2 linked regions of the Drosophila melanogaster genome follow. The protein of the gene in region 2 interacts with the protein of the main gene of each other region in a pairwise test. Each region holds a gene or a part of one and is shown on either strand. Other genes may lie near its edges.

Region 1 (5,299 bases), on a different chromosome or scaffold from region 2:
GTGTGGACACCCCTCGCATCTGCTCCAACGGAGCGGGCTACTCCACACTCACGGGCACTTGTGTTCTGCCACGGGAGAGTGAGCAGTGCATCCAGGAGCAGTTCACCTGCAGTCGGTCGGGACAAGTGGGTGGATGGGCGCCCGACAATCGGTACTTCTACGTCTGCGTCAATGACACGGCCAATTCGCTGTATCCGCTGATGATGAAGTGCCACGAGGGATTCGTTTTCAACAGCTACAGCTGTGTGCCCGACACCAGGAGCATGAGGAGCATTCAGGCGATGGAGTCCCACACGTGCATGAACAACGATAGGTACCAATGCCCCTTCCGAACCTCTGAGATCGAGTACTGCAAGTGCGTCGATGGAGAACTGGAGGTGATGACCTGTCCCGCCGGCTTCCAAATTGATCCTAAGATCCTGACCTGCGTGACTGATAGGATCTATCAGTGCTCGGACTTTGAGATCCTCAGCTGTCCCAATGTCTCCACCAAGGATGAGTACTGCATATGCATCGATCACCAGCTGCAGATCTACAGCTGTCCAATGGGACAGTATTTCAATGCTGAGACTCGAAAGTGCCAATCAGAGTCAGAGTAATGAATTGTTTTCATGGTACCAATATTGATTCAAGTAAATGCCTATTTAAAAAATTGAAATCATTCTGAACATTTTAAGATAAACTACAAATAACTATAAATATTCACCAAAATTTTAATGAGACCCAGTAACGACAACAAATCAGTTTGAATCTTAAGCCTAAGAAAGTGGAGGGATACGGACTCAATCGTCACATTCCCGCACCACAGGATGCAGGACGATCGAGGCTCCGTTGCAGCCCGTGCGATCCGAGATGAAATCGTGGAAGTTGCTCTCCAGCGCCCACATGAATCGCTTGTGACCCGGGAGCACTTGGGTGGACAGCCGGCAGTCGCCTCCCCGCTGCACCTCCTGCAGATTGGCGGCCTTGAAGCAGGTCTCCGAGTCCCACAGGTAAATGTCGTTCTCGCCCTTGTAGCGGAAGAAGAGCGAGGTGCCGCCGTCGGCGCCCAGCAGCACCGCCTGTTTGCCATAGGGCTTGGGGCCCACGTCGATGATGGAGCCCGCTCCCTGGCCAACGCGCAGGTACTCGCCCTTGATGGAGTACAGACGGGGGGAGCTCAGGTAGCTGAAGAACAGGGTGGAGGTGCCGTCCGGCTTCGAGGTGAGCGCCACGTACAGCACATCGCTGGTGGGGGCGGTGGCCTTCGGCAGGACGATGCGGTAGGACTTGTTGCCGGTGATGTCGTATACCAGGATACTACGTGCTCCAGCATCGGCCACATAGCTATGGTTGAAAGTGAAGGAAATATAATGTGGAATGAGATTAGATATCATGTATGCAATACAAATCGATTTTATTTGGTATATGATGAGCCACACTTCTGAGAACTACCTTGAGCAGATAAGATATGAGCCTCAAAGTGGCTAATGCCCTTTTGATTGGCTCAATGATCGCTGATTGAAAGCATGATTGAAAGTGTGTGGTAAAAGTACTCCAAACTCTTGATTCAGTTCGATGATTTCAACGAATATTTTATGACTGCAATATGAATCTCTGAATATCATTGTGCTGATAAATAATGGTTAGTAATAATGGTTAATAATAATGTAATGTGTGGTATTAATTTCATAGTTGATGTATTTCAAAAAGTGATTAAGTACAACTCATTTCACAGATGAAGTTAAGGGTAATAAAAGAGTATAGGCAATGGAACTCACACGAATGGCTTGTTGTCCTTGGAGTAGTCGACCACGATGAACTGCAGCCGACTCTCGGAGGTGACCAGGTCGCTGAGGTCGATGCTCTTGACCACCTTGTGGTTGGCCGTGTTTATGGCCACGATCTTGGGACTGCATCTGCGGATGGGCTGCTCCAGGGTGTTGACAATGCCCACGTCCAAGGCCCACAGAAGTCCCTGCGAACGGAGAAGGCAATTATTAATTGCTATCAATTGCAGCTCGTGTTGATTGTTGTTAATGTTTTCATTTGGCGGCTAATTGAAATGTTGGCGGCGTTAAAAATTCCACATTCGCAAATATGTGGCCATAAAATGAGTATCAGCGAAAAGCACTGAATGGAAAATTGCGCAAATAAATAAATACAGTCGCCTCGTTTGTTTGCCGTTTGTTATTGTTTCGTCGACTTTTGTGTAAATAAAATAAAGAAATGATTTGCATAAATGCAGCTAAACGGGAATGGCATTTAAATGAGAACGATTCGACGCCAACAATAATTGAAGGAAATTATTAAGTTGCAGCTTATGCTCGCAATCGTAAGTAGGTCATGTAAATATTTAATAGCATCATTGTAATATCTGCGAATGCATCTGTCATTTAAAATTAAAGCTGAGAACTTCTGAAGTGCAATCGAAATGCACAAAACACGGCTGGATGGCCTGTTCCCAGCATTTCCAAAATTATTTTCGAGAACTTTTCACTGCATTTGCTTGTCACTTTTCAGCTGCAGTCCTTGTCCTTTATAATATTCCATTTACCCCACAGCTTTTTCGGCGTTTCCGTATCCGTTTATTCTACCCTTAAATTGCTGCCGCCAATTGACGGGCATGAATTTTATTTGGAGCTCTTCACTTTTGTGGCCCCGTTTATTTGATTAAAAAAGTAATATTTGGTCGACAGCGAGGCTAACCAATTAAAAAAGTGCGTCCGGCAAGGGGTTAATGCGAAAACGATACCCTGGAGCTAAACTCCCGATTTTGATCGACTTTGTAAGGGCTAGCAAATATTTAACACTGCGACTGCACATCAATATCAATATCAGAAGATAAACTAAATCATTTTTAGAAAAAAAAAGTGAATAGCCCTAAGAGCATTTCAATGCTACCCTGTAATCCACCCACGATACAAATATGAATTAAACATTTGGTGTGGGTTAAAGTGCTATGCCTCCATGGTGGCCAACAACGAGCAGTCCGTAATTAAAGGCAGAACTGGCAGTTTGGACGAGACAACTTGTCTGACCCCCAAAAAAAAAATGGTCCAAACAATACTGGCGTTAATTGCACTCACATTCTGATCGACGGCTATGTCCACGACGGACTGCAGCGCCTGGCAGTTGCCCTCCTCCTGAATGGCCCAGCAGGGATAGGGTGCGATCTTGGTCAGGCACTCGCCCTTCTTTAGATTGACCTTGCCGAGAGTGAAGGGCACGCCCTGCTTGTACCTGGGCAGCGCCACGAAGGCGGAGTCCCGCTGCAGTTGGGCCCGGGTCACGATCACGTTACGGGGCACATAGCGGCCGGACTGGACGTAGATGTTCTTGGTGGACTCGCAGGGCCAGTGGAGGCTGCTGCCGCTGAGCTGGAAGGTCAGTTCGTTCAGCGGGTTCTTGTCGCACTTGGTGCCGCCAATGGAGTTGGAGGCGTCCGTCGACTCGTCGGTGGAGGAGCTGTATCCCGCGAGGACCACGGAGGCCGAAGCGACGAGGAGCAGCAGTTGCAGCTGCGACATTTTTCGGCGTTTCTTTCTGCGCTTTCCACAAACAGAGCTTCTGCACTCGATTCACCACGTTGGCCAGAACATAAAACTGTCTGAGCGATGGTAGACCTGCATTTATATATAATACCCAACGACTTATGCAGCCAGCATGTGGAGCGTGTTGCGGCAAGGTCGTTGGTTGCTTGACACGGGGGGGAACAAGTGTCTGTCTGGAGTGGCTACCACCCAGCCAGCACGTCTGGCCCACGCCGGAAGTCGGCCAGACCTCTAAGCCCGCTCGGTTTCTAAGCAATGCGGAAAGCGATGCGGAAATGAAATGCAAACTTAACCCCTTCCCTCTATCTAGATTACACGATTCTTCCTAAGCCATCCAAATCAAATTTAACTCCCCTGGTTTTTACTTTAATTGTCTTGATAACAGTTTGTTCTATTATGGCAATCTATGCCTGTCTAATTAATCACTTCTACTCCTTTTATTGCTCTTATTTTCTGAGTATAACTTTGTGCTATTATAGCCATTTATAGGCAGCTAATTAGTCACTCAAGTCCGTTCAATAAAATGGGTTCAAGTTGCGAAATAGCTTCTGTCACTCATCGATCGCTCTTGTGCATCCGACAGAGTAGCAAGTTTCACCCCTTGGCAGGCAAAGTTCAGAGGTCGCTGCGAAACACTTGCCAAAGTGGCCCAAAAGTTCAATATCAATGCTGACGTCTGTGACCTGCATATCTGCGACCGAGAAAGTTTCAGTTTCTTGGCTCGAGTTACCAGCTATTTTCGGATGACAAAAACATCTGTCAGTCCGTCCGTCTGCAGCTAGCTATCAGTTTGCTTTTGGGGGAGGGGGCGGGCGAAAGGAGAAAGTTCGGGGAGTTGGTGGGGCACATTACTCGCAGATAAGATTGCAAGTTGCCGGAGATTCGTCGTGTGAATCACACCCACAGTTTCGCGGAACAGTCACTCTGTTCCAAATTGATTTCATTTCTATTTTAAGATAAATGCAAAGGCGAAATTTTATCGCATCAGGGAACTTTAAAAGGCGCTCTGAGTTCGCCATTTTCAAGTCGGGGGTATAGCTCAGGGGTAGAGCATTCGACTGCAGATCGAGAGGTCCCCGGTTCAAATCCGGGTGCCCCCTGGAACTACATTTTTTGCCATATTTTTTTTTGTTGGCTGCTCAAGTCTCTTTGTGGACTTTGGTGGACTTTTTTGCACGTTGATTGCGGGGGGATTAGAGGTGTATCCGCCCGACGTGGTCGATGACCCCGTTAACTCGTAGAAACCCACATATCGCCAAGCGGCGAATAAAAAATCTTTGACACATTCGGGCAAGCGGTGGAGGAGTCGGTGTCCAGCTGAAGAGTCTTTTGTTTGGGACAGCTCGTGCAGCGAATTATGGACAGCACTGGGCTTACATTAAATCACAAAATGTTTAATCTCCTTACAGCTGCCCATCATCAAATGACCATCGGCGGGTCAACATTTTGATAACCCATTCATCGGGGGTCAGACTGGCTGCTCCTTCCGCATGGCGGAATGGGAAGGGTCTGTCTATAATGCCAAATTACATGCAGATTGAATTTTTGTGAATTCCGATTCAATAAACTGCCATGGGTCCAAACCCCCCTTCCCACGATCGTAATCCCCCGATTTATGGCACACACATGCCCAAAAGCAGGCGGATGTGATAAGTGCTGTGATATGTGGGCGGGATTGTCAGTCGGGCCGAATCTGTGGATAAATATTTATGTGCTCCAACATAAATAAAAGCAAAGTATGCAAATGGAAATTTGACGATGCTAAG
Region 2 (3,380 bases):
GCGCCCCTGCTGGTGCTCCAAATGGGCGGGGATGAAGGCATATCCAAGGCGATGAATCAATTCCTGTTGAACACCGTTCAGGACAAGTCCGTGGGCTTCGATGCCCGTGCCAAGTGCTGCACAGCTGTGGGATTGTTGAGCTTCCTGGGCTGCGAGGATGTTGGGGAGTTGGTACACCTGATGCAGAGCTTCGAGGCCATCTTCGCAGGCAGTTATTTGCGTGGCGATGACAAGACACCGGTATCCGTCACCGCCGAAGCTGGGACTTTCCATGCGGAGGCCTTGAACGCCTGGGGGCTTCTACTAACACTTATACCTTCGGGGGATTTTGTTTCGTTGATGACCACTGGCCAAAACATGTTTCCGTAAGTTTGAAGAGCAAGTTCCATTTAACTTTCAAACCCATTGCTATAATTGTTTAAACTAAACTTTGCAGATCTATTAAGAAGTTCTTGGGTCTCTTGCAATCTACACATTTGGACGTCCGCATGGCCGCTGGCGAGACCATTGCTTTAATTCTGGAGTCGGGACGTGCTCACGAAGAGGATTTCCTAGAAGATGACATCGCTGAGTTATCGGAGGCCGTCAAGCAGCTGGCCACGGATTCGCATAAGTACCGCGCCAAGCGCGATCGCAAGGCCCAGCGTGCCACCTTCCGTGATGTGCTGCGATACCTGGAGGTGAGTTGAAGATTTGCACGAGTGCTACGCTTAAACAATAGGGATTACATTTATTTATTTGACTCGAGATGCACTAGTCTTTGGACGATTACTTCATGTCAGTGCAAGTGAACTTGAGCTCGTGCTTGCAGTACTTGGCCAAGCACTTGGAGTGATCGTGCAACTTGTTGCGCATGATGACGCAGCCGTTCCGGCTTATCGAGTCCATGTACTCGCTGAAGGTCGGCACCTTCCGGTATGTGGTCGGGGCGGAGTTCCAGTGCGAACTGCTGCCGGATTCGATGGTCTGCGAGGAGTCCGAGAAGCTGGTCTTGAATGGCTTGTAGTTCTTTTGGCACTCGTCGCTAGACATCTCGTAGCCAGCGGACGCCTCCCGCTCCAGTTCGTTCATCACGTTCGAGCGGAACTCGTTGCAGGGTCCACGTTCGCTCATCAGCTTGTTGGCGTTCTTGGACTCGTCCTCCGTCTTTAGGCTCTCATAAATACCCTCCGGGTACTCGTTCATGTTACAGTAATCGATCTGATAGGTGGTGTTCATACGGTTGGTCTCCAGCCTGCGGCTCAGCTCCTCCTTGGGCATGACCTTCAGGCGTTCATACAGATCCGGGTAGACTGTACGTAAGATCTTGAGAAAGCGGTTGGGTTGCAGCTTAAAGCAATCTGTTTCCGCGGAGAAGGCCATCTTGTCCACCTGGTCCTGAGTCAGCTGGGTGGGTATGATACGCGGATCCACCAGCTTTCCCATTGGCGCTATGCCCGTCCACTCGACGCCGCCACAGTCCTTAGACGCGTTCGGCGGCATCATGATCTTGGACTCGTCGACGCATTCGCACTCCTTGACCTGCGGACCACTGTGAGCCTCGGCGCCCCTGGGCCGCGTTAGAAACTCGTACCGTTTGGCACTGGGCGGGACATAGTCGTGCTGATAGGTTGATAGCATCATCTTGATAACGAAATCTACAAAACTAATTGGCCAAAACAATTTTTTTTAGTAGTTTTTTTTTTTTTAACGAGAAATTTGGTCTGTTTGATCTGATAGAGAAACTAATAGTGATACATTTCAAAATCGTACGAAATGAGATTAGAATATTTGCTCGTAGCCTAGCCTGATTTTAAAGTTTTTTTTATCTCGTTGCAGGAGGACATTTCCCCAGAGATTAGCATTCGTTTCGGTACCGAGTCGCTGACACTAGATTCCTGGTCCATCCATCATCAGTATTCGGCCATGTGCACTGTCATGGGTCCCGGGATGACCTCGCAGCTGCAGGAGAACGAGTTCATCCGTGACATCTTCCAGCTGGGACCACGACCCACGAACACAGGCATCAATGGAAACGCCAAGGTCAAGCCGACCAAGCTGGAGCGGGTAAGTTGATTGAAATGTGTTAACATTCGCTTCAAATTTTAATATATTTATATTTGTTGCTTTTGCAGCACCTTGTGAATGCTGCTGCATTCAAGGCACGCTCCATAACACGTGGAAAGAATCGTGACAAGCGATCGGCCGTCGTCACTTAAACCTGTGCTTCACCCACCAACCGTTCCCATCCACAGACACCCAAACCAACCATCTCAAACCCCGTTAGCCAACTCTGGACTTACTAGTTGAATTGTTTCTAATTTTAGCTTGAACCAGGCAAAGCGTCGCCAAAGCTGAAGAACTAAGTCTAAATTTAGGATAATTCAGTGTAATCTACAAAATTTCTCTAGTTTATTAACCACATGTTGGAGCCATTGTTTGAATATTATGAAATATTTATTGCGTGCACGCACAGTGGTTGTTTATCAGTAAGTGCATGGCTGGCTCCAGCTTGGATCTTATTCTTTGTGAATTTAAATTAACACTGCGATTGTTACGACTGGCATTTACGCTTTGCGATTTGGGTTAACCTCTTTTGTTGTTGATCTTTTTAAATTACAAGCGTAGGAAAACATAGTCTGCTTTAATGCTGCGAAAAAGTTATTCATAACTTGACATGGCTTTTAATACGCATAATAAGCGGCTCTATGAATACATATATTTTGTAGTAAATAAGTGTAAAATAAAGTTTAGGCTTAAACGAAAACTACTTGAAATGCATTCTTACTGGTGGGGATACAACAATGGACTCCTTTTTAGAAAACACTTAAAAAACAGTTTGCGTTTTATAAATTGTATTTTATTTGTTAGTTTTATCACAAAAATTGTATGGTAACTTAAATTGTATGTTGGATTCTTTCCTTTTGTGGATTTTGTTTTGTTTTTCTTTGCTTTGACAAATTTTGTGTAGTAACTACAATAAAATTTATATATATATATTATATATGTTCGTGTGTATGTATATATGGGCGCAGCTTATACAAATCAGTTTCTTAAGGAGTAAACTTAAAGGTTAATAAGAAACGTATTTCCATCAAGTACAAATTAAAAACTTGTTTGCTTAATTTAATATTCGCCAAGTACTCGTGTTTTGCTTGCTTCTTGTTTGCATCCATGGATGAAACCGATAATGAAATGAAGGAAATCAAAATGCTTTCATAATTTAGGTGTAAATAAAAGAAAACTATAAACTATAAATCAGCATGGGGACTGACTCACTGGCGCATCTAAGCACTATCTTCTCGCTTATTCGCTCTTCAGGCTACTTGGCAACGCGTTCGTAATCATAATCTCAGGATGTTCTCGTTTCTGTTTCCGTTTCCGTTTCGCTTTCGCAATTG

Evidence for each region.
Region 1: the proteins of CG8813 (region 2) and yellow-g interact in a two-hybrid assay, tested with the Drosophila melanogaster proteins (2 studies listed by BioGRID).

The regions. Positions count from the first base shown.
Region 1 is NT_037436.4:2,269,183-2,274,481, forward strand, and holds yellow-g (yellow-g), read right to left. Parts: upstream 3,588-5,299; 5' UTR 3,510-3,587; coding exon 3,069-3,509; intron 1,958-3,068; coding exon 1,761-1,957; intron 1,327-1,760; coding exon 783-1,326; 3' UTR 699-782; downstream 1-698. Other genes in the region: CG32302 (uncharacterized protein), read left to right, coding at 1-599.
Region 2 is NT_033779.5:2,867,989-2,871,368, reverse strand, and holds CG8813 (uncharacterized protein), read right to left. Parts: upstream 1,718-3,380; 5' UTR 1,624-1,717; coding exon 769-1,623; 3' UTR 720-768; downstream 1-719. Other genes in the region: Ifrd1 (Interferon-related developmental regulator 1), read left to right, coding at 1-365, 437-680, 1,819-2,046, 2,115-2,198.